Linked DNA regions of Macaca fascicularis. The protein of the gene in region 3 purifies or fractionates together with the protein of the main gene of each other region. This does not show direct contact. Links are inferred from orthologs where the notes say so. Each region holds a gene or a part of one and is shown on either strand. Other genes may lie near its edges.

Region 1 (7,965 bases), on a different chromosome or scaffold from region 3:
CCTGAATTTAAGGCCAATTTAGATTGAATTTTTATCTCTTTGAGGAAACTCATCTATTCATCCATATATCATTCCTACATTTTGAAATGTGACATATTTAAGAAAATTCAGGCATAAAGTATTAGAGCCTGGAGAGCCAGGCTTCCTGGGTTCAAATGTGGAGTTTACTGCTTTCTAGTTGTGTGACTTTGGACAAGTCATTTAAGCTTCTAAGCGTCAGTTTCCCTATCTGTAGAATGGTGATAATAGTAACTTCCACAAAGACATGGGGCCTGGCATATAGTCCATGTACATTAAATGAATAAACAATAGCATGTGTTTTAGAAAAGACTTTCACACTGTGTTTTTCCTCTGCTCTCACACTGTAACAACACAGAAGACTACTGTGACCAAATATGTGGGGGATTTTCCCCACCAACAAGCAGTGGACAGCAGCTAAGTATCCTCCAACTCAGTTCCAGTACTATCTACACCTGGACAGTGTCAGATTCCACAAGTTGAAGGCTCAGTCCCCAAGACCCCACTCCCCACCGCTGCAAGTCTAGGCCTCCAGAACTTCCGACCAACTGGCTTCAAATTGGGGTTCCCATGTCCCCCTCTTTGGGTTTAACTTGCTGGAGCAGCTCACAAAATTCAGGGAAACACTTACTTATATGTACCAGTTTATTATAAAGGGTATTACAAAGGACATGGATGAAGAGATGTGTAGCGTGAGGTACAAGGAGTAAGGGGCACAAAGCTTCCATGCCGTCCCTGGGCACATCACCTTCCAGGAGCCTCCACATGTCCAACTATCTGGAAGCTCTCCAAACCCTGTCCTTTCGGGTTCTTAGGGAGGCTTGCTTCATTATATAAGCATGAATGATAACCATGTAGAAATGTGACTGGACAAAATGGGTATGCTCTCACTCTAACACAAGACCAGTCTATTCAGATTCTTCTTGGCCTCTGGGTGTTGAATTCCTTCCTCCAGGGCATGGGACAGGACCCTCTCTGGAATGAGGGTCTTTTGACCCACAATCAGACTAGAAACAAGGCAGGCGAAAGAAGGTCAGACAGAGATACTTTTTCCTGAGGCCTAAAGCACCCCAACATTATAACGTAAGACTGTCACAAGGGTTATGGGAGTTATGAGCCAGGAACTGTGGATGAAAACATTATATATATATATATATATATATATATATATATAAAATTGTAATATAGTATTTTTTATAAATTACAATAATTGTTAAAAAGTAACAATAAGCAAGATGGTTTGAGCCACTGAGGAATGCAAAACTCAGACTCCATTTAGAATTGATCATAAAAACAGGGAGAAAAGGGAATCACCTCTGTAGAAGGAAGAAATACAGAAGACAAAATGCAGTCTAAAAAAAGGGCTAGTGTACTGATAAATTCCATTAGAGATAAATGGAAATCCTTTAACAGTTTGTAGAACTGCTGCCAAACATTTTAATCATGTAGATCAGTTCATACTCCAGGTCATGAAGTATGAAATTTCTTCCACAATTGACAGGATGATGTGGTTAGGGAACATTACGTGCACACTTCTAAGTACAAACGGTAAGGTTTTATTCTACCCAGTTACACTACTTTATTAGTTAACATAAAATCAAACTATTAGAGCAAAATTACATATGAGTTTCATGTTTTCATTTAAAAATCGATCTTGTACGCATGATTCTAGTTTTTAATAGTGTAGTGTTCTATGCCATTGCCCATGTGGTTTCAAAAAAACACTTTAATAGGATCAATGTTAGCATTTTTCTCTATTTTTGCTTACCTTAGGAAATCCTTCCTTTTCAGCTAGTATTACTTTTTTAAAAAGAAAAAAAAGGCCTACAAAAGTCTAGAATTACTAAAAAAAGTCCTTGAAATGAACAGCCACATATTAATCACTTTTCTCCTCAGCTCAAATGTTAATTAAGCAAGTTGTAATTTAATCACTGATGTGCAGTAATCAGAATTCATTTTACATTAATCAAACATTAGAATATAATAATATTCAAAACCTGAGGCTTTCTTTTTAAGAGGAGCACTTCAGAGGGCTTTTGTACCTACCACATGTGAGGCATTAATTCAAGTTTGAGGACAATGACTCAGCTTGAAGGAAGGCGGGGTGGAGTAACATCCTACCCATTCCTTTAGGAAAAAATCTTTTCTTTCTAACTAGGGGAGAGCGAGTGAAGTGGTTGAGAACATGCCCTCAACGTTCTGAAGACATGGAGAGAGGTGTGTTACTTGTTATGCGGCTCCCTAAAAAGAAACATCAGTTAGAGGGACTTCCAGTAACTGAGGCCACCAATTTCTACTTGCGCTTTACTTTTTCTGGGAGTGGAACGGGTCAGGTTTGCTAGTATTGTGAAAATCCATGAGGAAGCATTATTTCTCTCTTCCACTTGCCTCATTCTGAGTGGAACCCCAGAACCTCGTGTAGGGCTTAGGTTTCTCTGCTGCCATCCAAGAAATTATTTTGAGCGGAGAATCTCTCACTCTCTGGCTCTTTTCTCCCAATAGTAACAATAATAATGCCTTACTTGTTAAAAGAGATGCCGTGGTTTTGAAGTATTTTCTCGGCAAACGGACACTTCATATTTGGGTGTATTAATGGAGGGAGATAAAACACACATGCAGTGTTTCCTGAACTTTTTGGCTCACATGCTTCTTTGCTCATGCACAACCTAGAGAAAACTATGGAACCAACTCCTGTGTACAGTTTCAGGGAATTCCAGGTGCCTAACAAGGTTTTCTTTTAACTACAGTTGCTCACAAAATTTACACAGTAACTTGAGACAAACGTTCACAGGAAGTAGATAAAACTTTTCAATATACCGTTAAAGTCTTTCCAAAAATCTATTAACATTATATTGTTTAGAAATTCTGTACAAGTCTACTACTATATTACCTAATAAAATCTTAAGCAAGAAAAAGGGAAAACTATCTTTTCATACTTTCAGGCCAGTGACTAACACTTCGTCTTCTATGTAGGGAGGTGCCCAATAAATACTGAGAGACAAACGGAACCGCGGAATCCCGTCCGCCAGGTCAGGGGATAAAGAGAAGCCGCAACGTCTTTACTGCACGAAGCACCCGGTAACTTACTGCCTACCCCTCACTCCTCTCTAATCTTTGGTCTCAATGGATTGCTGGGTTGGTTTTGTTTTATTCATTTTTGCTCTTTTAAGTGTTCTGAAGCAAGGAAACTTAACTTCACGTGGAGGGCCACTGTAAACTGCTGCCTCCCTTAAAAATGTATGACGGGAGAAGAGTAAGTTAAAAACATTTGGGGCCACACAGAAGGTTCTAGAAGCTCTGCAGACCCACGCTGCCACAGTCGTTAATCGCATGGAATCTCACCTCTTAACTTTTATCTCCTCTTTTTCCTGCTCCCCAACACCTAGGTAAGTTAATCAAAGTGTGGCCACCATCACGCCCTCACAGGTTTAGCTTACAATGCGTTTTCTCTTGGACAAGGGGAGAAAATCCAAGAAATAAACAAAACTACACCACGTCCATCCACAACAAATCTCAACAAGCAACTTCTGTTGCCGCAGCCTCACTGTGCCCCAGGGCCCGGCCCGCCACACGCGGCCTCCGTCCGCTAACCGCCCGCGCGGCGAGCAGAACGCCCGAGACCGCCCGCCCGCCCGCGGCTCACCTGAGCTCCAGCTGGTCCAGGCTCTCCAGCAGGCGGCTGGAGCGGTCGGCCATGGAGGAGGAGCGGCAGAAGCGCCCCTCGTTGGCTTTAGCGTTGATCTTCGCCTGAGCCATCTAAGCCTCCGACGCGGGGCAGCCGAGAGGTCACCGGCCCCTCCGGCGGCGGCGAGTGGAGCGCTCCTCGGGCTGCAGGCGTCGCCGTCACCACGCGGGCGCCCGCCCTCCCTCTGACGCCCGCGGGGGCAACCCGGGAGGACTCGCCGACACCGCGGCTGCCGCGTGGCCAAAGAAGGGCAGGCGCGGCGCCCGCGGGGCTCGGGGACGCCGGGCCTGGGAGGGGGCTGCAGCGGCTGGAATTAAGAGGTTCGCGGGCCACAGGGGCTCGAGGATGGGCCGATAGGGGCTCGGGCCTGGGGAGCGCAAGTCTCTGAGGCACGGGGAGGGGCAGACGCAGAGACTGAGCGCCTAATGTGGCCAGCGGATCGTCTGCTCCTCGGACCCAGGAACTACCCGAAGCCCGCCCGGACCCACAGACCACCCCCAGCTCCGCCCCGCGTGGCCCCGCCTCTTCGTGCAGCCTAAAAGTAACCAACTTCCCCCACACGAAGGTTCCTATCGGTCGATGGGTTGTGGGTGTATTGCTCAGTGATGGCTTCGTTTAGTTTCTTCCAGCACCCATAATTCAAAGCAAGAACAACGACATTAAGGGTCCTGTGATATAGGGAGAAAAGGTCCTTTTGTGAAACAGAAGGCAGTTAAGTGCAGCTCCTAGGCAGCCCACACTCACCTGACCTTCCTGTTACCACTTTATACTAAGATGAGAGTAACGAATGCCCGGACAACGCTGAAGCTATTAAGTAAAAAAGAAAAAGCTACTCCATCTTTCCCTATCTAGGTAGATGTAGGAAACAAAGTGAATTTACTTCATTTTTATCATTCTAAGGATTACAGGTGTGAACCACCACGCCCGGCTTAATGAAGGAGTTTTTAATTTTTGCTATTAAAATTATTCCTGTTGAGTGAGCCGAGATCTCGCCACTGCACTCCAGCCTGGGCAACAGAACGATACCTTGTCTAAATAAATAAATAAATATTCTGAGTGAAATAATTGGCATTAAGAAGTCCTCAACTTTTAATTTTTTTTTTTTTTTTTTTTTTTTGAGACCGAGTCTCGCTCTGTGGCCCAGGCTGGAGTGCAGTGGCCGGATCTCAGCTCACTGCAAGCTCCGCCTCCCGGGTTCACGCCATTCTCCTGCCTCAGCCTCACAAGTAGCTGGGACTACAGGCACCCGCCACCACGCCCGGGTAGTTTTTTGTATTTTTTAGTAGAGACGGGGTTTCACCGTGTTAGCCAGGATGGTCTCGATCTCCTGACCTCGTGATCCACCCGTCTCGGCCTCCCAAAGTGCTGGGATTACAGGCTTGAGCCACCGCGCCAGGCCAACTTTTAATGTTAACAAAAAGATGCAGTAGGCCTCTAGGTCAGGCACCAGCTGTCGGTAAAAGATGGAATAGAGCTGAGGATACAAAGATTAGTCTACTTAAAAAGTTAGGTTTTGGTCCCCTCTCCTGATAGCTCTATGCCTCTCACTGCAAGGATGTTAATGTACACGGCACAGAAAATGATAGATAATAATAGTCTAAAGCTGAACCAGCACCTTTAATCAGAGATCAAAGTCATTTAAATACTTGAACAGAGTTGAAGCCCTTAAGGCTGGATCCCAATTCCCTCTGAACTCATTCTAAATCCTAATTAACTCTTGGGGTAGGGGATTATTTGACCTTATTAAAAATACTTTATCATGACACAAACGAAAACAAAACACATTTTGTGAGTGGTTTGAAAGTCTATCAAGTGACTTTAGAATCATCCTGAACTCTTTTTCTCTCATATCCTAGATCCACCTCATTAGTAAATCCCATTAATTTTACCTTCAGAATATATCCAGATTCTTCCCAATTCTACCGCCACCATTCTGGTTCATGCTACCTGGTAAGTTAGTATCTGAAGTACTACAATACCTTCCTCTCTGGTCTCCGTGCTTCTACTCTTGCCTCTCATGTACATGTTATCTCAGTGCAGCAACTACAGCAATCCTAAATTAGGCAGATCATACCATTTATTCTCAGAAACCTTCAATCGCTCCTTACCTCGGAGTAAAAGCCAAGGTCATTAGAAAAACCTCAAGTTCATTTCCTATTACTCTCTTAGCTCATCCTCTCAGTGATACTAGTCTTCCTGCTTTTCCTTGAATATACTAAGCTCCTGTCTGGACCTTCCCCTCCTCCACCTGGAACTCTCTTCCCTATATATATTTTCATCCTCATTCCCTCACCTTCTTCAGGTTTTTGCTCAAGTTTACCTATCAGTGAGATCTTTTCTGACCACCCTATTAAAAATAGCAAGCCTCCCTGCAACTCCCTGTCCCTGCACTATTTATTCCCTTCCCTTCATTTTCCTTCGTTACATGTATCACCATCAGATATGCAGTTTTATTTGCTTGCTTACTAACATTGTACAATCTCCTTCTCTCCACCAATGTGTGCTCCACAGAGGGGTAAAGGGCTTTGTTTTGCTTACTGGTATATTCCAAGTGCTTAGAATAGTTGCTGGCACATGGTTGGTACTCAATAAATATTTTGTGACTGAATGAATTAATGAGTGAATGATGTAATGAAAAGATAAGCATCTTTGTCAATGTTAGAAACATTTACTTTTGATGATAATCCATATAACTTTCTCTAATGTTACACAGCGATTACATCTCCTTTTGTCTAAATTAAAGCCAAAGTATGAATTTTAAGATGATTTTTAATTATTTAACAGGTAGAAATACAATCAGTGACAATTATCAATTAAAACATTAAACAACCCAGTTACCTTTTCTTAAGAGTCATGATGAAATATCCCTTTCCTGTTATATCAAAAGCCTTATTCTCTACCACACACACCACAAAAGCTTCTTAATAGAGCATCAGTGTCCATGACACCTTTGTGTAGAATCTCTGGCAACAAGGAGCTGTCTCCTCTTGCCCTGCCCCCACATCTGCTTAACCACTCATCTTTCTGGAATGCCTCTTTTGCTCCTCACTATTTTGTGAGCTCCCGCAGATGTGTTTAAGGTCCAGCTCAGTGACTATCTCCTAGAGCCTTGCTTGACCACTTAACCATACAAACTAAAAGCAAAATGTGGTCATTTTGGAAAGATGATTGATAAATTCTCAAGCCACAATGTCTACTTTTAAAAAAATGCAAGCAGGGAGGAACAGAAGTGACATATCAAGAAATTAAAAACACAACTTGTAGATTGAAAAGACTATAGTAATAAAAAAATTCACTTTCACACTAAAATATTTAGTGTTACAGAGAAGGAACAAAATTCTAGCCTTTATATTTTGTCTTAAATATAAAGGAAAGCTTTATATTTATGGAAATGTTTTTAAGTTTGGTAAATAATTACTACTAAAAATTTTTAGAGATAAGACATTTCTGGTCAAATAACATGAAGCATATACACAAAGATCATATGACAAGCCCTTCTTAGTCTTCTACTTATGTCGTATTTTGTATTACTCACAATGGGGCCTCAATATTTAAGAATTAAATATGTAATACCAAATGAAGGAAACTGACAATTCAGTGAATAACTAAACTGAAGACATTCTATATGAAATAAAAATTTTAAAGAGTTAAGGAAGATTATTCCTGAGTAGGCTTTCAACATTATTTCTTGAAGATATTATGTTTACACAAATATATAAAAAAGGACTAGTATTATGAAAAATAATTTTATGCAAATATTTTGACACCATTCCCTTTAAACAGGAGATCATACAAGTCACATAAAAGTCTAAGCAGGTAAAAGGAATGGAAATTGTTTCATTTAAATTATTTCTTAAAAATTAAGGTGTATTTTTTATTTTAGCAATGTGCTGCTCTAATTAAAGCAATAATTCACATCTGCATGGCACCCACAAAGAACACTGCTGATAAAATTTTAAGTGTTTCCATGATCAGTTTCCATTACCCTCTTCTAATAAACATAAACAAAGATCTCAAAGGTAATATATAATAGTGCCACATGAGAAGTAGAATTTATGGAAAACTTGACCTATGTCACCTTTTTTATATTCATTTTCACTCCTAAAAAAATAAACTAGAATCATTTGTACAGTACAAATAAAATTAAAGAACTAATGCTATTTGGGAAACAACTATTAAGAGCTTTCCTTTTTTTTTTTTTTTTAAATCCTTTAAATCTAAATATATAAATTCAAAGTTAACTGGGAAACTGTTATACCTAT
Region 2 (7,393 bases), on a different chromosome or scaffold from region 3:
TATTTTCTAGTGACTATAAAAAATACATAGAATTTGCATTGTGTTTGCTTAAAAGTTGAGACCACAGATTAGATGCCAACTCTATTTGGCTGAAAGTTTAAGGAAAGGGGGTTTTCTATGAATGACCCTTTGTAACTACTCAACACTAGAATCAATTGAAATGGTATACACACACATCTATAACTAAAATTATTCATACACTTACATGTTTTTGAATCACCTTTTAAAAAAATTGAGACTGGGTCTCATTCTGTTGCCTAGGCTAGGTAGAATGCAATGGAGCGACCATAGCTCAACTGCAGCTCAACATACCTGGTCTTAGTCTACTTTATTTTTGAGAGGTTCTCACTTTGTTGCCCAGGCTGGAGCACAGATCTCACTGCAACCTCCACCTCCTGGACTCCAGCGATCCTCCCGAGTACAGCACCATGCCTAGCTAGCTAATTTTTGTGTTTTTAGTAGAGTTGGGGTTTTGACATACTGGCCAGGCTGGTCTTGAACTCCTGGAATCAAGCCATCCACCTACCTTGGCCTTCCAAAGTGCTAGGATTACAGGCATGAGCCCACTGCGCCCAGCCAGCTTAGTCAGCTCTTTAATTGGTGAAGTTTAGCATCCTGCGATTTTTTGAGACAGGGTCTCACTTTGTCGCCCAGGGTGGAGTGCAGTGGCACAAACATGACTCACTGCACCCTTCATCTCCCTGGCTCAAGCAATCATCCTGCCTCAGCACAAGTAGCTGGGACTACAGGTGTGCACCACCACATTGGACTAATTTTTGTAGAGACTAGGGTTTTGCCATGTTGCCTAGGCTGGACTCAATGCACTTGCCTTGGTCTCCCAAAGTGCTTGGGATTACAGGCATGATCTACAGCACGCAGCCTAGCATCCTGATTGACATTAAATCAAATCTTGGTAATGGAAAGTGGCTTAATTGTTCAGATACGCCCTTATATTAAATTTTGTGAAGATTAGTGAGGCTCTCTGCCATTATGAAAATAAAGATGCACTGAAGAGTAATGGAATAAGCTATGCTTATCCATGCTAGCATCCCAACAGACATCTCATTTTAATAGTCCTCATACTATAAAAATGAGCGAGATTACACATTAACATGTTAACCAATGAAATTACTAACGTCTTTTGTTAGGATAACATCACACTGAATTTGGTCTAAACAATGCAAAAGGCAAATACAATGTATGAAAACATATACAAACCGAGTATTTGTTTGTTATAGGTACTTCAGAAGAATTCATTTCTATCCCCTCCCCAATAAACTTGTCCAATTACTTTGTTCTAAATTAATGTTTGGGAATGAGATCTTGATACTAGCTTCACAGTTCATCCAACCTAGGACACTTAGCCTAAGAGTATCTATTCAAATTTGCATCAGTTGGTGAACTGATGGGCCCTGAAATCTTAATTAAATCTAGAGTTCAAAGCCCCTGCAAGAAAAATCAAGTGAATTCTTACTCCCCCTTCAATTGTTTGTAAAACATCTCAATCATCTCTAGATGTAATATATTTTTTCTCAGTCATACATATCAAGACTTGATTAAGTTTGGATTTTGTTTAAAAAGCCTTTATTCATTTTTTGATCAGGGAAAAGGACAATCTCAATGTCAACTTGTCACCTAATCATAAATTTGAACTTACAGGATTCACTACCCTAGACACTGCACCTGACAACACAACCTAAAAATGAACTTCCTTCCATTCCCTAAAGTTGCATGTTGAATGAACAGAATCCCTTCTAACAACCAACACTGGTACTTGGCCTAGGTGTGTGTGAGAACAAATAGCAAAACAGCAGCAAAAAAAGGCCAAGAGCATTATAACGTGATAGCCCAAGAAGTATAATCATTGTAACCAAGTTGTAAGCACCAAATTAAAAAAAAAAAAAAAAAAGGGGCTCATCAGCATAAGAAACACGTTTTGTGAGATCACCCGTGTGAGATCAACTACTCTGCCTGTGAACACATCTGCCAATCCCAGTAGCTAACACTGAGGCAAAGGTCCCAAAATCCAACTACACTGAATGCAAAATTCAAAGCTTTTATTTATTCCAGGTCTTCTCAAACCTGGATATAAAACGGCTTTTCAGTGCACCCAGAGGGTCCACTGTAATGACTCAAGTCACATTTGGATTGACACACCTAAGATACCTTTTCCACTATTCCTATGTCTGAATATGGAAATGTCTAACTACTCAGTTCATGCACTGTTAAAAACTAGATTTACTATCAAGACTTTTTCTAAACTCACACAGCATTAATAGCTAACTGTAATACAATTTCCTCAGAATGCCCAAACAGAAAACATGTTGTTCAATCTTGTGGTGACTGCGAGAAAACAACACAACTAAATCTTTTGCCACTATTTCAAATTTTAATCTAACTTTTGACCACACTCATACCTTTCTACCAAAATCCTTGAGTTATAACTACTTTAAATGCTCTTAAACCATAGATCCTACCAGTTTTACAGTGCTCCTGTGTGCATCTGAATTTTTATCAAGAATTAAGTGATTGTGTTATGATTACAAAGCTTTTACCAGGTGACCACTGATTAAAGCCAAAGTAATTAGCGATTCAAAAATGGCTTTCCAGAGACAGGCACAAAGTAAAAGGAGCTAACAATTTTATTACAATCCAGAAGAAACATGGTCTACTAGAAAGCTTCTACTAATCACAACACTTACGTCTTCCTCTCAGGACAGTCTTCAGATAACCAGAGGGGAAAGAACATTGTTCAAAGGTGTGGTAGAAACCTCACTTAACAGGGAGAAGATGAAGCCTTAAGAGCATAGAATACACCTACAAATTGGGGAAGAGGGTGATGCTGGCTGGCTATTTATAAAGGACCACAGTTTCTCCGTATGAACCAATACTCTCTACAAAATCAACTGTGCCTTAATTATTGCTTATTTTAAATTACATTTTTACAGAGCTATGTAGTACCTGACGCAAAAAAGCAATCACATAAGGAAGCATTTATTTGAAGTTTAACATGAAATGATACAAATAAAATGTGTATAAACAAATCCACATTGAGTCATAACACAGATAGCAAAGGACAAAGTAAAAACAAAGAAAACTAATTGGCAGCTATATACAGTTGGACACAATCGTGTCTTGTACACTAGAAAGTCTTTTACAAAATAATCATCTTAGATCAACAGAAGACCAATCTTCAATGTCGTCCTGCAAGATGGGTTACTTTAACATCTCCTCCTAAAAACAAAAACAAAATACCAATTAGATTTGTGCAACTCTGACAAGCTTTTAAAGGTCCACTTTCATGAACTGTTTTAAGTCCTCACTTTATTCTTTTCTTCAATAATTAAAGATCATATGCATATTTATTGGCAAAATACAGTTTGGTTAGTCAATAAACTCACCCTGGAGTTCCCAAATAATAATAAATTCAAATCTATTCAGGAAAGAATCTGGGAATACAATCTTCCCATATTCACAGGTTCAACTATGCTAGATTAAGGTCTACTAGAAGCATCTCTAGTAACCCAAGTAAAATGCTATCACAAACACCAATTTCTAATAAGCTTATTACAAGAACATAAATTGAATTGTGCATATGATCTTTAATTTATATCCCAGATTTAAAAGTTCTTGTTTTGGTTTGTAGATTTCACTATTAGCTATAAAAAGAAAAAGCAAGCATTAAATCTTAAAAGAATGAACACTTAAAATGAGGCTCCACAATTGAAATACAACACTAAACAGAAGACCAAAATGATTAAGCTGTAAAAAGGCATTTATGTATTTTAACTCCTGTAAAAAACCATTTAAGTTAAGTTTAGACACTTAATCTCCAAAAAGATTAAAAAAGAAGCCAAAGTCTGAAGTTTTCCACTTTAATCTTTACGCTGGTACATGAAGTTGGAAGAGACCATACCACAGGACAGCGTTTTCTGGTGTATGCCTTGCGCTCTGCCCGCAACGTGCGACCCCCAGAGATAGACGTGGTCAGGGTGACACACGGCCTGCAATGAAGTTCCCGCTGGCGGGTACAAACAAGGTATAATGTCAGAGTTAGAAGACAACATTCTTGTTTTCCTTAAGTTGTACCCATTTCAGTACTTTACCTGTTAATAGTTCTAAAATGTTTAATTATTCCTCTAGACCACCTGGTACACAAAAGCAAACAGAAAAACTCTTAAGTTTTTCTGCAATACTAAAGAAAGTGAGATAAGACTTTAAAGTTAAAGATCTATAGACACTTTAGGCAAAACAGGCTCATAAAGCAATTAAAAAAAATCAACAATTTAGTAAGAACAAGCTACATAGTATTTTGTTTTTACGTTTGTCTATTGATCTTTAAATTAAATTAGACATTTCTACTGTTTTCCTGTACTCTTATACACACCTGTTTTCTCCAATGTTCTCCTTTAGTATGGCTGGTAATTGTTTTGGTGATTGCCACCCCCTCGAGATGCCTTGCCATAAGTGCTCTGTTGACCTATTTTGAAAACACAGAAATTTCATTAAGATAGTTTTCTACAAAACTGTTTCTTTACAAACACACTGAGAAATGATTAAATCTACAAATCTTTGCATGCTAAATAAAAAGTATTAAAATATTAAGATATTTTAACACCCATTATAAGCTAGTCGTAAATCATACATCCTAGTTCATTTATAACCACCAGACTATGTTAGTATAATCACCCTATGATTGTAACATGCCTCAAACACTTAACTCCAAACAGAAAGCCCGTACACACAATTTCAGAACAGGATTGTATGTTAACAATGAATTTTAATACCACTGGTTTATAAAATTAAGTTAAATATTCTTACCACTGTAGTCTGCATATCCCTGTCCATATCCATAGTTCCCATAGTTATACCCAGTATAATCATATCCGCCATAGCCACTATAGTTTTGATCACCACCATAGGCACTATTGTAATTTCCATATCCTTGATCATAATAGTTATTAAATCCTTGGTTCCAGTTTTGGCCCTGACCTGAAACAATGCACAATGATTGTTAGGAAACAACTTCTGACCCCCAATTCTAACATAAAATGATGCGTTCTTGTCTCTCACTCTGCAAATCTTAAAGGGCAGAATGGACATATATAGCACTATCTGCTTGAAAAACTATTCTTCCAGCTGTTATTAAAAAAGGGGGGCAGAAAGTCCAATTGTGCCAGTATCAAACTTCCTAAATTTAATGGAAAATCATTCAATTTTCCATTAAAGCTGAAGACAGGTATACTGTTCTGTTTAAAACAAGGACTCCTGCCCAAGAAAACCCATCACGCCATGGCGCATCATGTAATGGTACACTTTTCCTGTCAGTGATGACACTAATTGTCAAAATGGCCATACTTTTAACAGTTTTTTGAAACCAGTGAGCTCACAACAAAAACCACCACACACAACCCCCACTAAGCTGAACATTTTCCTCCCGCTGGAATTGTTTTAAGTTTAAAGTTTTAGTTTCGTACAGGACTACTCATATTTAGCAGTATACAGCTTAAACCATGGAGTCATATTCCAAGAATTAAGTCTCACCTCGGCCACGACCCCTCGTACCACCTCGGCCACCAGCCGCAGCACCTCTTCCACCTTTTTGTTGTTGCTGTTGCTGCCTATATACCTCTTTGGGTTGTGCAACTTTGATTTCACACTATAAACAAATTAAAAAACACGAAAATAGAATTTTTACTCAAGTTCTAAAATTTAATCATTTTATTTTTCTCAAACACATTGAGAAATTTCAAAAACTAAAAGATAAAAAAAAAAAAAGAAAAAAGAAATCCTTAAAATTTTCATTTAAAGTACTTAAATGGCTTTACCTTCCCAGAACCAATTTGATGGTATCTGCTTTCTAACAATTTTTTTACTGGCTCTTCATCGGTGTATGTGATAAAACAAAATCCTCTTCTCTCATTTGTTTTTGTATCCATGGGAAGTTCAATATTTTCAATCTGAAATCGAGATGCACACTCAAGGTCATCCCATAATTATAAAATGCTACCAGAGTGTCAGAATGCCACAGGTACTTTTCAGGCTTCAACTTAAACATGTTATTCTTATCAGGTGACTTCTATACAGACATCACTGCTTTATGATCAACATCAGCCTTCAGTGATTTGTTGTATATTTGAAGCATTGAGAGAAAAGTAAAACATCCTTTAATATTATTTTGTACCCCAAAGATGCCACTAACTAACAAGTCCAAACACCGACCACATTTAAGTGCCCATGTTTTGGCTAAATTAAGATAGTTGGGTTTCCATCAGAGCAGCAATCAAATCAAGGTACAGTCCCTGGAAGCGACTTGAGCAGTCATTTAATCCTACCCTCACACGAAACATGAATCTGCCCTGTATAAATCGGACCAGGATTAAACATTTTATAAACACATCAAGCTTAACATGTGTAAACATAATCACACACCTCTCCAAAGGCTCCAAAATATTCTTTAATTTGTTCTTCAGAAGTATCCGGGCTCAATCCACCCACAAAAACCTTTTTGGGGGGTTCTTTCCCTTTTAAAGCTTTGGCCCTTTTGGGATCTATCAATTTGCCATCCAGTTTGTGTTCTTTCAGTTCCAAAACCTACAAGACAGATTTATTTAATCTGACAGCAGCATATAACCCCCAGAAAAATGTGCAAAACACTACAAAAGCAGCACAATGCAAAACACAGTTCCTACCTTATCAACACTAGCAGCATCTTTGAAAAGCACAAATCCAAATCCTCTTGATCTCCCAGTGACTGGATCTGTTTTAATTGTGCAGTCTACAACTTCCCCAAATCGAGACAAATACTCTGTCAGATCTTTTTTGCTTGTATCCCAGCTCAAGCCTCCAATAAACATTTTACTAGAAATAAAAGGTTTTTTAAAAAATTAACAGTAACTCAAATGATCCTTCAGTTCTGGAATTAAATCGTAGAATAAAAACAGGAACATTTATCCCCTAAGTGTAAGCAATTTAATCCATGTTTACATTTAATCTATGTCACACAAAAATCCCAATATCCCAACAAAGTTACTCAAACCAGCGGACAGCTCGCTCTCCGCACTACATAAAGCAAAACTCAAAGGAGACCAATAAAATATAGTAAAGGTTCTGCCCAGATTGCTTCAGCTACAAGGCCCAACTTCCTAGATGAATCCCTCACATCTTATCTTAGGTCCATCCTCGTCCTCAGCTGTCAAGCCAACGTTCCACCCAGAGAACTCATCAATCATAATACGTTTTGTGAATCTGGGTACCAGTCGCCTGCTTGTGCCCGAACTCAGAGTCCTCTAAAACTCTTCCCAGGAAAACCGCGCCGAGTGGTAACAGAGACACAATGAAGAGGCGTCGGCAGCTGCAGCGAGCGGCGCTGGGAGGCCGGCCCCTCCCCCCC
Region 3 (8,179 bases):
GCAACTCTGCCTGGCCGCCCCACTGTCGGAGAAGTAAGAAGCCCCTCTGCCCGGCTGCCTGACTGGGAAGAGAGGAGCACCTCTGCCTGGCCGCCTCTGTCTTGGAAATGAGGGGCACCTCTGCCTGGCCGCCTCTGTCTTGGAAATGAGGGGCACCTCTGCCTGGCCGCCTCTGTCTTGGAAATGAGGGGCACCTCTGCCTGCCCGCCTCTGTCTTGGAAATGAGGGGCACCTCTGCCTGCCCGCCTCTGTCTTGGAAATGAGGGGCACCTCTGCCTGGCCGCTGCACTGTCTGGAAAGTGAGGAGTTCCTCGGCCCAGCCCCTGCATGGTCTGGGAAGTGAGGAGCGTCTCTGCCCGCCCATCCCACTGTCTGAGAAGTGAGGAGTGCCTCTGCTGGGCTGCTGTGCAACCCTCCAAGTGTGAAGTGACAGCCTTGTGTGTGATCTTTCTGCCCTCCCCAAGTTTGCATTAGACATTAAAGTTTACTTTTTAATAAAAAAAAAAAGAAAAAGAAAAAAAGTGAGGCAGGCCTTGGCCCTGTCTTAACAGGGTCCTCACTAAAGGGTTTCTCCTCACTGAGCTGCCCCACAAAAGGCCAGGCGCCCCACAGCAGCCTACCTGAGGGCAGGCAGCCCCTCGAGAAGCTCCTTCATTTATTCATCTTATTATTATTTTTTGAGACAGAGTCTTGCTCTGTCCCCAGACTGGAGTGCAGTGGCACGATCTCGGCTTACTGCAACCTCTGCCTCCCGGGTTCAAGCGATTCTCCTGCCTCAGCCTCCCGAGTAGCTGGGATTACAGGCTCCCGCCACCACGCCTGGCTAATTTTTGTATTTTTAGTAGAGATGGGGTTTCACCATGTTGGCCAGGCTGGTCTTGAACTCCTGACCTCATAATCCGCCCATCTCAGCCTCCCAAAGTACTGGGATTACAGGCGTGAGCCACCGCGCCCGGCCATATATATACATATCTATGTATTTTTTAAAGACAGTATCTCACTTTGTCACCCAGCCTGGAGTGCAGTGGCATGATCACAGCTGGCTGTAACCTTCAACTCCTGGACTCAAGCAATCCTCCTGACTCAGCCTTTTTTCTTTCTTTCGTTCTTTTTTTTTTGAGATGGAGTTCCACTCTGGTTGCCCAGGCTAGAGTGCAATAGTGCGATCTCACCTCACCACAACCTCTGCCTCCCAGGTTCAAGCGAGTCTCCTGCCTCAGCCTCCTGAGTAGCTGGGATTACAGGCATGCACCACCACCACCATCCATCTAATTTTGTATTTTTAGTAGAGACAGGGTTTCTCCACGTTGGTCAGGCTGGTCTTGAACTCCTGGCCTCAGGTGATCTGCCCGCCTTGGCCTCCCAAAGTGCTGGGATTACACGTGTGAGCCACTGCGCCCGACCAACTCAGCCTTTTAAGTAGCTGGGACTACAGGTGTATGTCACTACGCCTGGCTAAATGTTTTTCTCTTTCTGTGGTAGAGATGGTGTCTCTCCATATTGCCCAGGCTTGTATCAAACTCTTGGCCTAAAGCAACCCTCCTGCCTCAGTCTCCCAAAGGTGAGCCACCACACCAGACCAAAATATACCTTTAAGAGGTAAACGTTCTGTGAGATAGTTATGTCACCCAAGTTACTAACTCATTCTATGTATTATCCACTCACGACCCAGTAAATTGATGCAAGAAATAATTTTGTTAAGAGAAATGATTTTAGGCTGTAATCTCAGCACTTTGAGAAGCCAAGGCGGGTGGATCATCTGAGGTCAGCAGTTCGAGACCAGCCTGGCCAACATGGTGAAATCCCGTCTCTACTAAAAATACAAAAATTAGCCCGATGTGGTGGTGCATGCCTGCAGTCTCAGCTACCCAGCAGTCTGAGGCAGAAGAATCACCTGAACCTGGGAGTCGGAGGTTGCAGTGAGCCGAGATGGCGCCACTGCATTCTTACCTGGGGGACAGAGTGAGACTCTATCTGGGGGGGGGAAAAAAAAGAAAGAAATGATTTTGGAATCCTGAAATACATCAGGAACTTCCATCAATCAGAGACATTACAGAGGCACAGGCAGAAGGAACCTGCCAAATTAAGCAAACAAGGGATAAAAAATCCTAGAGCCCAAGATGGAGGGCAGAAGACAAAGAGTTAACAAAACTCAAGTGGTGTCAAGAGGCAGCTGGTGAAGTTCTTGCCTATGCTTTAAAAAAGCATTTTTCAAACAGAGTACTGATCAACAGTGGGTCAGGAAATCAATTTTGTAGGTCATGACCAGCATTTTAAGAGACCAAGTGGGACAAAAAATACCAGCACACAGGGCACATAACAGTAAATACTGTTTTGCTGAATGTGTTACATGGCTGGATGCCTGTGTTGGGTTAAATGTAAGAAGTATATCATTGCAGGATTTATTTGAAAGGCCCCTATTGAAAAAAAAGACAAGCTTGAACATTCAAAATCTGTCCAACTTGTTTTTTTTCTGGAGACAGAGTCTCACTGTCATCCAGGCTGGAGGGCAGTGGAGCAATGTTGGCCCGCTGCAACCTCCACCAGCCGGCTTCAAGCAACTGTCCTGCCTCAGCCTCCCATGTAGCTGGGACCACAGGTGCACGCCTCGATGCTCACCTAATTTTTTTTTTTTTTTTTTGAGAGAGAGTCTTGCTCTGTCACCCAGGCTGGAGTGCAGTGGCACAATCTCGGCTCACTGCAAGGTCCGCCTCCTGGGTTTAAGCGATTCTCCTGCCTCAGCCTCCCAAGTAGCTGGGACTACAGGAGTATGCCACCACGCCCAGCTAATTTTTGTATTTTTAATAGAGACACGGTTTCACCATATTGGCCAGGCTGGTTTCGAACTCCTGACCTCATGATCCACCCGCCTTGGCCTCCCAAAGTGCTGGGATTACAGGCGTGAGCCACCGCCCCCGGGGCGATTTTTTATTTTTTATTTTTTTTAAATTTTTACTACAGATGGGGTTTCACAATGCTGGACAGGTTGGTCTCAACCTGACCTCATGATCCACCCACCTCCGCCTCCCAAAGTGCTGGGATTACAAGTGTGAGCCACCGCACCCAGACCAACTTGAGTATTTTCTAAACTGAAATACAAACCTCACAGTTGAAAATGAAAACAAAGTCTTGTTTATTTTCAGGAATGGCTTCCAGATGGTGGGCTCAAACACACCTGGGGTTAAATGCCAGGTCATCTGTACAGTCGCCATGTCAGTTTGCTGTCCTAAGTCAAATATTCATTCACCATCTATCTATCTGCACATACACTTCTACCATGGGTGGTGGTGATTTAAAAACAAACATTTTAAGACCAGGCAAAGTGACTCACGCTTGTAATCCTAGTGCTCATGCAGTGGGAGGCCAAGGCTGAAGGATAGCTTGAGCCTAGAAATTCGAGACCAGCCTGGGAAACATAGCAAAACCTCTGTCTCTACAAAAAATTTAAAAATTAGCCAGTTGTGGTGGCGTGTGGTTAGCTACTCAGGAGGCTGAGGCAGGAGGATCGCTTGAGGCCAGGAATTTGATGCTGCAGTGAGCTATGATCCCACCAGTGCACTTCAGCCTGGGCCACAGAACCAGACCCTGTCTCTAAAAAATAAAAAATAAATTTGGTAACAGCAGAAAGAGGTCCTTTCTCTTTTTTTCAAGACGGAGTCTCACTCTGTCGCCCAGACTAGAGTGTGGTGGCACAATCACAGCTCACTGCAACCTACGCCTCCAGGGGTGAAGCGATTCCCCTGCCTCAGCCTCCCCAGTAGCTGGGATTATTGGCATGCGCCACCATGCCCCGCTAATTTTTGTACGTTTATTACAGAGGGGGTTTCACCATGTTGGCCAGGCTGGTCTCGAACTCCTGACCTCTGGTGATTCGCCCGCTTTGGCTTCCCAAAGTGCTGGGGATTATACGTGCGAGCTACTGCACCCAGCCGAGATCCTTTCTTAAAAGTAAAAGAGCAATGTCTTATTCCAGAAAATTTTTCCTCACCTATAATACAGCCCATTTAATCCTAGACACAACTGAAGCATTATATGGGCACAAAAAGTTTATTAACTTCATTTCCACTCTTTTTAATACAGCAAGGAAGCTCGAGCTTTGCCTAAAGCAGCAACTGCTACAAGAGACCAAAGGCTCAGCTCTGGAACTCCACCAAAAAAAGGGTGGTAGTCACTAGTCCATCGAGATGTCTTACTTAAGGGGAGCGTGTGGGCAATCTTAGTTTTATGGATCTGAAGTAAGAACCAAATACCAGGTATAGTTTCAGAACTGTCACCCCGAAGTGTTATGGGCCCGGAGCGACGAGGGTAGTACTCTCGAGCAGATGATTTCTCAGATGTTGGTAGAGGTTTCTCGGAGGTTGTTTTGTTCTTTTTCTTCCGATGAATCATTATAGCTCAATGACAGCTTCCAATGGAACAAAATCTCTAGGCCTTTCACAACCACAAGCTACTGAGGACATAACCAAGTCACTGAAAGGAAGCAGCAGCCGCTTCAAACTCTGCCCCCCAAATGCTCAACAGAGGCCCATAACTTCTAGCGGTTAATCTCTGCAAATTGTCTACAACCGCCCCAGTGTAGCTAGAAATCCACCTTTCGGAAGTGTCGGTCCTCGGTCACTCGACAATCACACACACGCATACAAAAAGAGGGGGAGGGGCCGCAATACATTTGTAAACCACTGTCAGAGATGGAATTCGTTCCAAGGACTTTTGCGGCACCCTTCCCTTTACTGCATCAGCTACACTCGCTCTGTAGCTCCTCAAATCCCCGCTCAACGCTCTCCCACCCTCACATTCTCAGATGCAGAAGAGTAAGATTTGCCCCAACTGGATCTCAGGCTGCTAAGACCCAGTGTATTCCCGTCCCCGCTCCCTGGATCCGTCCAAGTTCCTCGTGGCTAAGTCCGAGCGGTTTCTCCGTCGGCTGTCTCAGATCTCCCGGAGCGCTACCTCGCGGGTGCCGACCCCGGCCCCTGGCCTAACTCCACCCCGCCCTCTGCGGCCCGCACCCTCCCCAGCATAGCCTGCAGCAGCCCCTTCGGGACACCTTCAGGGCCCGGTCGCGGCCCCTCTTCCCGCCGCCGGCCGGACTCACCCAAGCTGTGGCCTCCTCCCGGCCCTCTTCGCCCAACCAAGGGGCGATGGGCGCTCCCCGCGGCCGGCCTCTACAGATCCCGCTCCCGCCCGCCGCCCGCGGCCCTCGCCTCCCCGCCGCCGCCCCGTCCGGCTCCAGCACCCAGCTCCGGTCGCCCAGATCTGGCACCCGCCCCGCCCCCTACCGCGGGCCTGGCCTCCGCCGGTCCCCGAGCGGTCTCGGGGCCTCAGCCCGCCCCTCCCCCTTCACCTGCTCCATAGCGCAGCGCGGCCCGGAACCCCGTTGAATCGAATCCGTCCGCTCCGCGATCCCAACCGCACGCGCCGCCTTCTGGAACCTACTAGAAGCTGCCGGGACCCCGGCTCCCGCCCCTTCCTCGCCTGCTCACTGGTCGAGTACTTCTAGGGGGCTCTCTGTGCTGTTCTACTACTGGCTTGAGGTCCAGCCCATCATCTCCACTTCCCTCTCATTGGACAGCGGGGAGTGATTCCCTCAACCCTGCCTCCCCCGCACCTCAGGATTGGACGCCGCTCTATAAACCCACCCATCTCAGGCTGCACGAACGGAGGGAGGAGCGGACTTCTGCGACACAGATTGGTCTTTTGCTCTGCCAATCGTAGCCGCGCTGGCCGCGCCCATTGGTTCCGTTCGTTCTGGAAATTTCCACCTCTCCCATTGGGCTGCCGGACTCCAAGTCGGAACCGCCTTCAGAATGAGAGCGATTCCAATTGGGCGGAGGGTTGCCAACCCTCTGCGCTGATTGGTTTAAATCGCTGCCTTTCAAAAGGCTGGGTTTCGCCCCGCCCGTGGCATATGGCAGTCTCGGCCGTAGTCCGGTACTGTAGCCGTGTCTCCGGCGGCTGCGGTGCCTGTGGGTTACTTTCCATCTGGATCCCTAGTGCCGCGAGTTCCAGGCGGTCCCCGGGATCGCCAGCGGCACAGGGCCCCAGCCTTTCGCCCACGCATCGAGATGGAGGTCCTAGCCGGTCGCGCTGCGTGGTCCTCGACCGCCAGTTGCGCGCGTTGTTCAGCGCTGCGGCCTCGGCCTGGCCCTCCTGCATTCTGGCTGTTAGGTTCCAGAAATGCCACGTGACCGCGAGGGCGCTTGGGCTTGGGCTGGACAGGCAGGGGATCTCATCGCGGCGGGTGCGGCTGTTCTGCTGGGCGTCCTCAGTGGAACCGCACACCCTCTCTGAGTCGTTTGGTCCTGTAGGGCCGAGGGGAATTCGTGCGGTGTTTAGCACGCGGAAAGTACTTAGCGAAAGGGAGCTGTCCCCCAGCCCTCGTGAGTCCGATGTAAAGGAGTGAAAGAGACGAAGAGCTGAATCAGGTAGTTAACCGCCTATGAGCTGGCTAACTGTGGCCTGGTAGAGCCTTAAATCCCAGCCCCAGAAGTCAGAGTCAGGGCAGGCACCCCAAAGCGTGGAAGAGATGCACCTGCGGAGTGAAAATGCTGCTATTGCTTCTAGAGTCAGCTGTGGTTCCTGGAACAAAGGAGCCGCATGACTCGGGTCTGGCAATGGTCTTGGGCTCTGCAGTGTCCTCATCCTTCCCCCTCTCTGGGTAATGCCATCTTCCCAGGGTTTAAAGTGTGTCCTCTCTGCCAATAGCTTGTCTCCACAGCCTCATCTTTAATCCCACCTGCCCCACCCATTTTGGACACTGCAGCCAAGTTGCTGCAGACCTGCAAACCTGGTAATCCCTCACTTGAAAGTGCTGAAGGCTTTAGGGTGGGATTCAGGGCCTGTGTAATCCAACCGCCTGCTTTTTTTTTTTTTTTTTTTTTTTTTTTGAGACGGAGTTGAGTCTCACTGTCTCCAGGCTGAAGTGCAGTGGCGCCATCACAGCTCCCTGCAGCCTGGACCTCCTGAGCTCAAGCCATCCTCCCACCTCAGCCTCTCAAGTACCTGGGGTTACAGGCAGGCACCACTACGCCTAGCTAATTTTTCTGTTTTTTTTTATAGACGGATTTCTTCGTGTTGTCCAGGCTAGTCTTAAACTCCTGCTCTGTCTCTCAGGCTAGAGTGCAGTGGGGCGATCTCGGCTCCCTGCAACCTCTGCCTCCCCGGTTCAAGCAATTATCCTGCCTCAGTCTCCCAAGTAGCTAGGATTACATGTGTGCGCTACCACGCCCGGCTAATTTTTTAATTTTTAGTAGAGACGGGGTTTCCCCATGTTGACCAGGCTGGTCTCAGACTCCTGACCTCAAGTGATCCGCCCGCCTCGGCCTCCCAGTGCTGGGTTTACAGACCCAGCACTTCGCCCTGCGGTTTTGCATTTTCAATAGTGAGGCATGGTGAGAAAAGACTTAAAGAAAGCAAGGGAGTGAGATCCTTGGAAATGTGGGGGAGAACTTTGCAGGCCCATGGAACAGCCAGTGCAAAGGCCCTGGGATGGGAGCTGCCTCGGGGTAGCCAGGATGGCAGGAGGCACAGCTGCCGAGAGGAAGTAGGGGCCAGGTCCTGCAGGGTTAGAGGCCATTGCCACTCCCGAACACATTGGCAGGTTTTGAGCAGAGGAGTGTCATGATCTTAAGTTTTCTCAGGATCCCTCTGGCTGCTGTGTGGAGGAAGAGGGGAGAGTGAGAGCAGGGTTACCTCTTAGGAGGCTGTGGCAGTAATCCCAGGGAGCCAGGATGAGAGCAGAGGAGGGGACAGGAATAGGATTCTGGATGCATTTTGGAGGGAGCATGAAGGAAAGCGGGGTCAAGGGTTCCTCTGAGGCCTTGGCCTCCTCTCTTATTCATCTACATCCAATCTGTCAAGGACACCTTTCATTTCTTCTTGGCACTGTCTCCAGGCCACCACACGTGCCCACCTGACCAGCAGTGGCCTTTCCAAGCCTTCCATCTTCTCCCCAGCAGCTTCTCTCCGAATGGCCAGGTCCCATTTCCCACACACCTTTTTTTAGAGTGTGTTGCACTGCTCTGGGTGCAGGGCTGTAGCAGTGACCAGGGCAGCCCCAGATGAAGCTTCTGCTCACAGGGACCTTTTCTACTGAAAGATGATACCTAAACTCTCAGCTGTGTGATGTTAAGCAATTTGCACAACCTGTCTGTACTTCAGTTGCCTCCATCTTCAAATG
Region 4 (6,819 bases), on a different chromosome or scaffold from region 3:
TTTTTAAATATAAAAATTTGATTGGAGATAGGAATGATAAACGTTTCATTTATATTAGTTGGGATTTTCATTGAATTTTTTTTCTGTTTTTCAGTTGTCCAGTAAGAAAGAAAAGGATAACTGAAGCAGAGCTCTGTGCTGGTCCTAATGACTGGATTCTTTGTGCACATCAGGATGTAGAGGGGCATGGAGTAAATCCCTGCATTAGTGGCCTTTCCGTACCTGGGATATTAGATGTTATTTGTGAAGAAATGGATCAGACAACTGGAGAACCACAGTGTGAAGTTGCCCGAAGGAAGCTTCAAGAGATTGAGGACAGGTAACTGGGCAGTGTATATAGCTGGTTTTTTGCTGTTTCCTTGTAATATCTCTTCTCATATAAGCTAATTCTGTTTATCATTTGGTGATACCTTGATCCTTAACCTCTCAGAAAGACTGTAAGTCAGAGAATTCAAAGCGTATGTTTTTTTTTGTTTTGTTTTTTTGTTTTGTTTTGTTTTTTAGATGGAGTTTTGCTCTTGTTGCCTAGGCTGGAGTGCAATGGCACCATCTTGGCTCAGTGCAACCTCCGCCTCCTGGGTTCAAGCGATTCTCCTGCCCCAGCCTCCCGAGTAGCTGGGATTACAGCCATGCGCCACCAAGCCCAGCTAATTTTGTATTTTTAGTAGAGACAGGGTTTCTCCATGTTGGTCAGGCTGGTCTCGAACTCATAACCTCAGGTGATCCACCCGTCTCAGCCTCCCAAAGTGCTGGGATTACAGGCATGAGCCAACCCGCCCCCCACCCCTTTTTTTTTTTAATTGAGACAGGGTCTTGCTTTGTCACCCAGGTTGGAGTGCAGTGGCTCACTGCAGTCTTGACCTTTCAGGCTCAACACATCTGCCCCCCTCAGCCTCCCGAGTAGCTGGGACTGCAAGCATGCACCGCCACCCCTGGCTAATCTTTGTGTCTTTTATAGAGATGGGATTTCACCATGTTGCCCAAGCTGGTCATGCATTCTTGGGCTCAAGCAAGCCGCCTGCCTCAGCCTCCCAAAGTGCTGGGATTACAGGCGTGAGCTACTGTGCTGGGCCAGTATACTGTAGCCTTTTTTTTTTTTTTGAAACAATCTCGCTCTGTCGCCCAGGCTGGAGTGCAATGACACCATCTCAGCTCACTGCAACCTCTGCCTCCCAGGTTCAAGCAATTCACTTGCCTCAGCCTCCTGAGTAACTGGGATTACAGGTGTCTGCCACCACACCTGGCTAATTATTTTTGTATTTTTATTTTTATTTTTGGAGACAGAGTCTCGCTGTGTCGCTTAGGCTGGAGTGCAGTGGTGTGATCTTGGCTCATTGCGATCTCCGCCTCCCAGGTTCAAGCAATTCTCCTGCCTCAATCTCCTGAGTAGCTGGGATTACAGGTGCCTGCCATCACACTTGGCTAATTTTGTATTTTTAGTAAAGACAGAGTTTCACCATATTGGCCAGGCTGGTCTCGAACTCCTGGCCTCAGGTTATCTGCCCATCTCGGCTTCTCAAGTGCTGGGATTACAGGCATGAGGCACCGTGCCCAGCCATGAAGTATGTGCTTTTAAAGTGAATTCTCATAGAACTGCTAAGTGTTTTCACTTACTGTCTCTGAATATTAATTTTGGTTTATGTGATAATTCTCTGAAAAACATTCAGATTTGATTATATGTAAAACTTTTTTGTTAAATGTTGAACAACCCCCTGAGTATAGGTTTTTTTGTTTCGAGACGGAGTCTTGCTCTGTTGCTCAGGCTGGTGTAGAATGGCACAATCTTGGTTCACTGCAACCTCCACCTCCTGGGTTCAAGTGATTCTCCTGCCTCAGCCTCCTGAGTAGCTGAATTACAGGGATGTGTCACCACACCCGACAAATTTTTGTATTTTTAGTAGAGATGGGATTTCACCATGTTGGCCAGGCTCTTCTCCAAATCCTAACCTCAGGTTATCTGCCCGCCTCAGCCTCCCAAAGTGCTGGGATTACAGGTGTGAGCTGCCACGCCCAGCCTGAGTATACCTTTTATACTCAGGTATAGCCTCATTTTTTGCTTAGTCTATTGCTGTATTACTTACTGCTTTTATCCTTTTGTATTTTTAAAATTTTGTCTAAATACTAGAATATATAATAGCTTGTCTAAATATTTTTTCTTCTGCTGATGCCTTAATTGATTTAGGATAATTGATGAAGATGAAGAAGTTGAAGCTGACAGAAATGTTAACCATCTCCCCAGTCTTGTCCTTTCTGATACCATGAAAACAGGTTTGAAGAGGGAATTTGATGAAGTTTTTACAAAGAAAATGATTGAGTCTATGTAAGTTTTGGTACCTGATTTCTATTTATTTATGATCTTGCAGGGAAAACCCAGTGTCTAGATTCTGCCCATCCTGTCCTCGTCAGCTCTTTTTATCTCCTGATCACCAGGCAATCGGAGATTGGCTTTTTCCTAGTTCATTGGGTTGAGCAAAGTGCTTTATAAGCAGAAGTTTGAAGTATGGGGAAGTGGCTGCCTTGCCTACTTACTCTTTCGTTCCTTTGAAGACCTAAAATGGACTGTAGTCTGCTATTTGGAAATGGGATGACTGGCAAGAGAGCCCACTCTCTCAAGTTCTTGTGATAGGATATAGGAACCACATTTCAAAGGCTCCTGTTTACCCGGCTTTCTAAATTACCCAGGAACAACATTGAGGCCTAGGAAACAAAAAAAAAGTGGCCCATCAGTGAAAGTAGTTACTGCAAAGACTGCAAAACAAAGCTCATATTCTTGGCTCATTAGCATAGTCCTTCCAGGCCTTTAGCAGAGCTGTTTTGCTTTTAATCTAAACACAGTTTATGAGCTCAGTTATCTGGTTTCCTAGATCATCAGAGTAGAAGCAGAAACAGCAAATGAGAGCAGAACAAACAAAACTTCTAACAGGGAGCTGTGACTACACTGTGAGGACAAGAGAGGAACCTGGAAAGCAAACACAATAACCTAAAAAGTAAAGTGGCCTGGGGCCTGTGAGTAATGATTAGCCCAGCCCTGTAATCCTGTAGTCCCTGAAGCCTCCATGATCTCAAATTGTCATTATTAACTATGTAAAATAGTAGGGAAGTTGGTTATAAAGTGCCATTTAGGTATTGCCTAGGAAAGACTTTAGATGGAGTTGGTACCCAATGAGGGCAAGTTTCAGGTATCTGAAAAAACCTCTTAGGACACCAGTCTCAGTGAGGCCAGATAGATGAGGCATTATTACCTTTGGATACAGGGGAGATGATTTGTGCTAGAAGTTCAGCTGCTATTTGGTCTTATCACAGAGGTTTTGCATTAGGGTCCTATCTTGAGCTTATAATTAACTACCCAGCCCTAAGGGTGGGTAAATAGCCATAAGTAAGCTGGTCACGTTACCCTCCAGCCTAAAACATAGCACTTTCTGCTTTTGGTAGTTTTCCAGAAGCTAGCCTTTGGGGGTATTTCATTGTTTTGTTTTATTTTTGCTTCCTCTTTGGGCCCAGACACCATCGCTGCCACAGTGTGTGTATAACATAGTCATTTTGCCTTAACCGTGAAGCTTGTTTTGTTTTGCTTTGTTTTGTGTTTTGAGACAGGGTCTCACTCTCACCCAGGCTGGAGTGTAGTGTGGCATGATCACAGTTCACCACAGACTTGACCTCCCGGGCTCAGGTGATCCTCCCACCTCAGCCTCCCGAGTAGCTGGGACTACAGGCACCCAGCTAATTTTTGTATTTTTTGTAGAGACAGGGTTCACCACATTGCCCGGGCTGGTTGCAAACTCCTGGGCTCAAACCGTCTGCCTGGCTCGGCCTCCCAAAGTGATAGGATTATAGGCACAAGCCACCATGCCTGACCCATAAAGCATTATACTTTGTACCTGTACTAAAAGGCACCTGAGATACTTTCAGCATGTTTGTCCAGTGTTTCCTTTTCATTTATAATGATTTAGTATAAGCTAGCTGCCTATATCTAATATTAACCACAGTTTTAAAAAATTTCTAGCAATCAAGGGCTCTGTGTTTTCACATTGGATTTTTAGATACTTCCCATCACAGCATCATTACATCCACTTGATTTGGTTAGATATACATGTTGAAGTGTGCAGTGTTATGTATTTGAGGGGCGTTTCTAAAGATCAGTTGGAGCCAGGCATGGTGGTAATGTGCCTGTAGTCCTAATTACTGGGAAGGCTAAAGTGGGTAGATTACTTGAGTCCAGGAGTTAAAGGCTGCAGTGAGCTATGACTGTGCCACTGTACTCCACCCTGGACAACACAGCAAGACCCCCATCTCTTTAAAAAAAAAAAAAAAAAAAAGAAAGTAAAGATCAGTTTGTGTGTTCTAAATATCCTGTTTTGCTACCATCAGTCCTTAAGGTATTAGGTAATGTTGGCTTTTCAACCTATAGCTTTTGTTTTCATGTCCTAAAATTTTTTGATAAAAGTCTGTATTTTATGTCTTAGGAGCCGTCCTTCCATGGAGCTTGTTCTCTGGAAACCCCTCCCTGAACTCCTTTCTGATAAGCCAAAGCCATCCTCTAATACTAAGAACTATACAGGAGAGAGCCAAGCTAAGCATGCAGCTGCTGGCACTGCCTTCCCTCAGAGAACTGAACTGTTCTTGGAACCTCGGCAACCAGGGATGTCTCTTTATAATAGTTTGGAGACAGCTACTAGCACAGAAGAAGAGATGGAACTCTAGAAACCAATTTCTACACTAAAGTTGTCAAATGTTAGAAGAATCCTGTGTTCAGTTATGAGACTCTTTGCATAGTATAGGGACTTGAAAGTTTTATGAAACGGGTGTAATAATATCTCCACCTGTGATTTGGGGGTGGGACTCTCATTTTGGGTAGCCATTTATTGACTTCAACTTTTTGCCAAGGAAGTTTGTCTCAAGGGAAAAGCAGTTTTCTGTGGGGCTTATTAAAGGAATGTTGGTTTACAGTTTCTTCGAAGATTACAGCCTCTTCAAAGACAAGTATAGAAGCTGTATGTGTAAGGGTGACTTAAATCATATATCACATTGTCTAAACTATTCAGACACTTGGAGAATATTCTCCTTGAATTCAAAAAAGATGATTAAGAAGGATGCTCCTACTACAGCTGTATCCTGACAGTTAAGTCACAGTTTAGTGTGTAGATATGAGCTGTTTACAGTGGTGCCTATATCTAATTGGGGAGGAGGGAAAAGAGCAGTAGCTTAAGCCTGTTGCTAAGAAATCTAATTTCTTAGCAACTTGTAATTTAGTTATCAATTCAATATAGCTCGTTGATAGCCAGTAGTATTGTGGCTCTCCTCTTTGACTATGAAAATAATAGAGAAAGTTTTTCCTTCAAGGCTTTTTTGCCTTGTGCCACTGTTACTCCTTGGTTTCCCTTGCGTAATTGATAAGCCCAGTTATTCAGTAATGTTTACAAATTAATTGACTTTCAATGATAGTTAAAAGACTGATGTAACCCATCTGCAATTTGCCTATGGGAGAAGCATCCTTTAGTTCATCCTAAGGAAGTGCTTGGTCAACTAAGCCCAGCATTGATAACTTTAGTAATTTTTTAAAAAGTTATACTTGTATTAGCAAGTTTTTTTTTTTTCCCCCACCGCAACCTCCACCTCCCGGGTTCAAGCAATTCTCCTGCCTCACCCTCCTGAGTAGCTGGGATTACAGGTGCCCGCCTCCACGCCCAGCTAATTTTTGTATTTTTAATAGAGACCGGGTTTCGCCATGTTGGCCAGGCTGGTCTCGAACTCCTGACCTCAGGTGATCTGCCCACCCCAGCCTCCCAAAATGCTGGGATTACAGGCGTGAGCCACGGTGCACAGCCAGCAAGTTACTTTTAAATGTTAATTTAGAAAACAGTGAATGATTAGCTGAAAATATATGAGCAGGTGACATTGAGGTTTACTAAAACAGCCAATTTGACTGGTGCTGAGACTTGTGCAGTAAGCCTAAAAGGTAGTGGAGAATTGCTTCCTGCTAGCAGGAAGCCTTCATCTTCTTGAGTACCTAAACCAGGCTTCAGGTGTCCTTTGAGGATAGCCAGGTTTGAAATTTGTAGTTTCTCAGGAAGAGCTCTTCTGTGTGGCAGGGGCTGATAGGGCAAAATAAAATGACAGTTTCTTTATTGCTACAGAGTATCCACTATAAGTTATTAAATGAGTGTAATGGTATAATGCCCTTCCATCACAACAGGACACCACCCCAGTTTTGTTTTCTGGGTTTCTTCCCCCTTTGTAGGAATCAGATACCTTTTATAGAAAAAAAATGGCTTATGCCACATAAAGGTGAATTTTTAGAAACCACCTTCTAGGCGTTTTTGGAACCCTTACTGAAATCCCTCCCCTTGTTACAGATGGCATAGAAGTCACAAGTCTGTTAATTGGACTGTTACTTCTTTGCCTGTTCCTGCTTTCTCTTTCTGTCTGGATAGTCAGGAAAATATTTAATGTTTAATATTTAAACAAAATATTTAATATCTATACAGTAAAATTATTCAAACTTCAAACCAGTATTGAAAGCAGTTGGAAACCAGCTAATAGTTTCTTAATCTCAGATTTCGAGATGAATGTAAACTGTATTCTTTCGAAATGTGCAAGTGTTTGATTCATGCCATTTGATAAACTTCTGCCTTGTAGTCATTGTTTGATGGGACCAACTTGTAAAGTTTGTAGCCTTAAACAAATCTCCATGCTAAAAAATGTGTTCCAGTACAACACAAAAACATGAAGTGACTGCGCAGAGGTAGAGTTAGTGTTTAGGTGGAAAGGAAGATGACAGCTTTCCAAAGAAGGATCTAAAACACACCAAGATTGTCTTCT

Evidence for each region.
Region 1: the proteins of STIP1 (region 3) and BAG2 purify together in Homo sapiens (affinity purification with mass spectrometry; 3 studies listed by BioGRID and IntAct, with this or other methods). This does not show direct contact. The link is inferred for Macaca fascicularis from reciprocal best matches to the Homo sapiens genes STIP1 and BAG2.
Region 2: the proteins of STIP1 (region 3) and HNRNPDL fractionate together in Homo sapiens (co-fractionation; 3 studies listed by BioGRID, with this or other methods). This does not show direct contact. The link is inferred for Macaca fascicularis from reciprocal best matches to the Homo sapiens genes STIP1 and HNRNPDL.
Region 4: the proteins of STIP1 (region 3) and CCDC117 purify together in Homo sapiens (affinity purification with mass spectrometry; 5 studies listed by BioGRID and IntAct, counting the BioPlex papers as one, with this or other methods). This does not show direct contact. The link is inferred for Macaca fascicularis from reciprocal best matches to the Homo sapiens genes STIP1 and CCDC117.

What each region holds. Positions count from the first base shown.
Region 1 is NC_088378.1:114,544,941-114,552,905, forward strand, and holds the start of BAG2 (BAG family molecular chaperone regulator 2), read right to left. Parts: upstream 4,149-7,965; 5' UTR 3,775-4,148; coding exon 3,662-3,774; intron 3,612-3,661; exon of another isoform or gene 2,065-3,611; intron 1,026-2,064; exon of another isoform or gene 653-1,025; intron 1-652. UniProt on the Homo sapiens protein: Co-chaperone for HSP70 and HSC70 chaperone proteins. Acts as a nucleotide-exchange factor (NEF) promoting the release of ADP from the HSP70 and HSC70 proteins thereby triggering client/substrate protein release.
Region 2 is NC_088379.1:51,443,462-51,450,854, reverse strand, and holds the end of HNRNPDL (heterogeneous nuclear ribonucleoprotein D-like), read right to left. Parts: intron 6,862-7,393; coding exon 6,693-6,861; intron 6,595-6,692; coding exon 6,433-6,594; intron 5,961-6,432; coding exon 5,829-5,960; intron 5,660-5,828; coding exon 5,545-5,659; intron 4,993-5,544; coding exon 4,822-4,992; intron 4,481-4,821; coding exon 4,410-4,480; 3' UTR 4,388-4,409; intron 4,022-4,387; exon of another isoform or gene 3,235-4,021; 3' UTR 2,979-3,234; downstream 1-2,978. UniProt on the Homo sapiens protein: Acts as a transcriptional regulator. Promotes transcription repression. Promotes transcription activation in differentiated myotubes. Binds to double- and single-stranded DNA sequences. Binds to the transcription suppressor CATR sequence of the COX5B promoter.
Region 3 is NC_088388.1:10,208,129-10,216,307, forward strand, and holds the start of STIP1 (stress-induced-phosphoprotein 1), read right to left. Parts: upstream 5,412-8,179; 5' UTR 5,354-5,411; coding exon 5,345-5,353; intron 5,211-5,344; exon of another isoform or gene 5,096-5,210; intron 4,451-5,095; exon of another isoform or gene 4,251-4,450; intron 522-4,250; exon of another isoform or gene 233-521; intron 81-232; exon of another isoform or gene 1-80. UniProt on the Homo sapiens protein: Acts as a co-chaperone for HSP90AA1. Mediates the association of the molecular chaperones HSPA8/HSC70 and HSP90.
Region 4 is NC_088384.1:22,882,349-22,889,167, reverse strand, and holds part of CCDC117 (coiled-coil domain-containing protein 117), read left to right. Parts: intron 1-94; coding exon 95-319; intron 320-2,182; coding exon 2,183-2,320; intron 2,321-4,463; coding exon 4,464-4,701; 3' UTR 4,702-6,819. UniProt on the Homo sapiens protein: Facilitates DNA repair, cell cycle progression, and cell proliferation through its interaction with CIAO2B.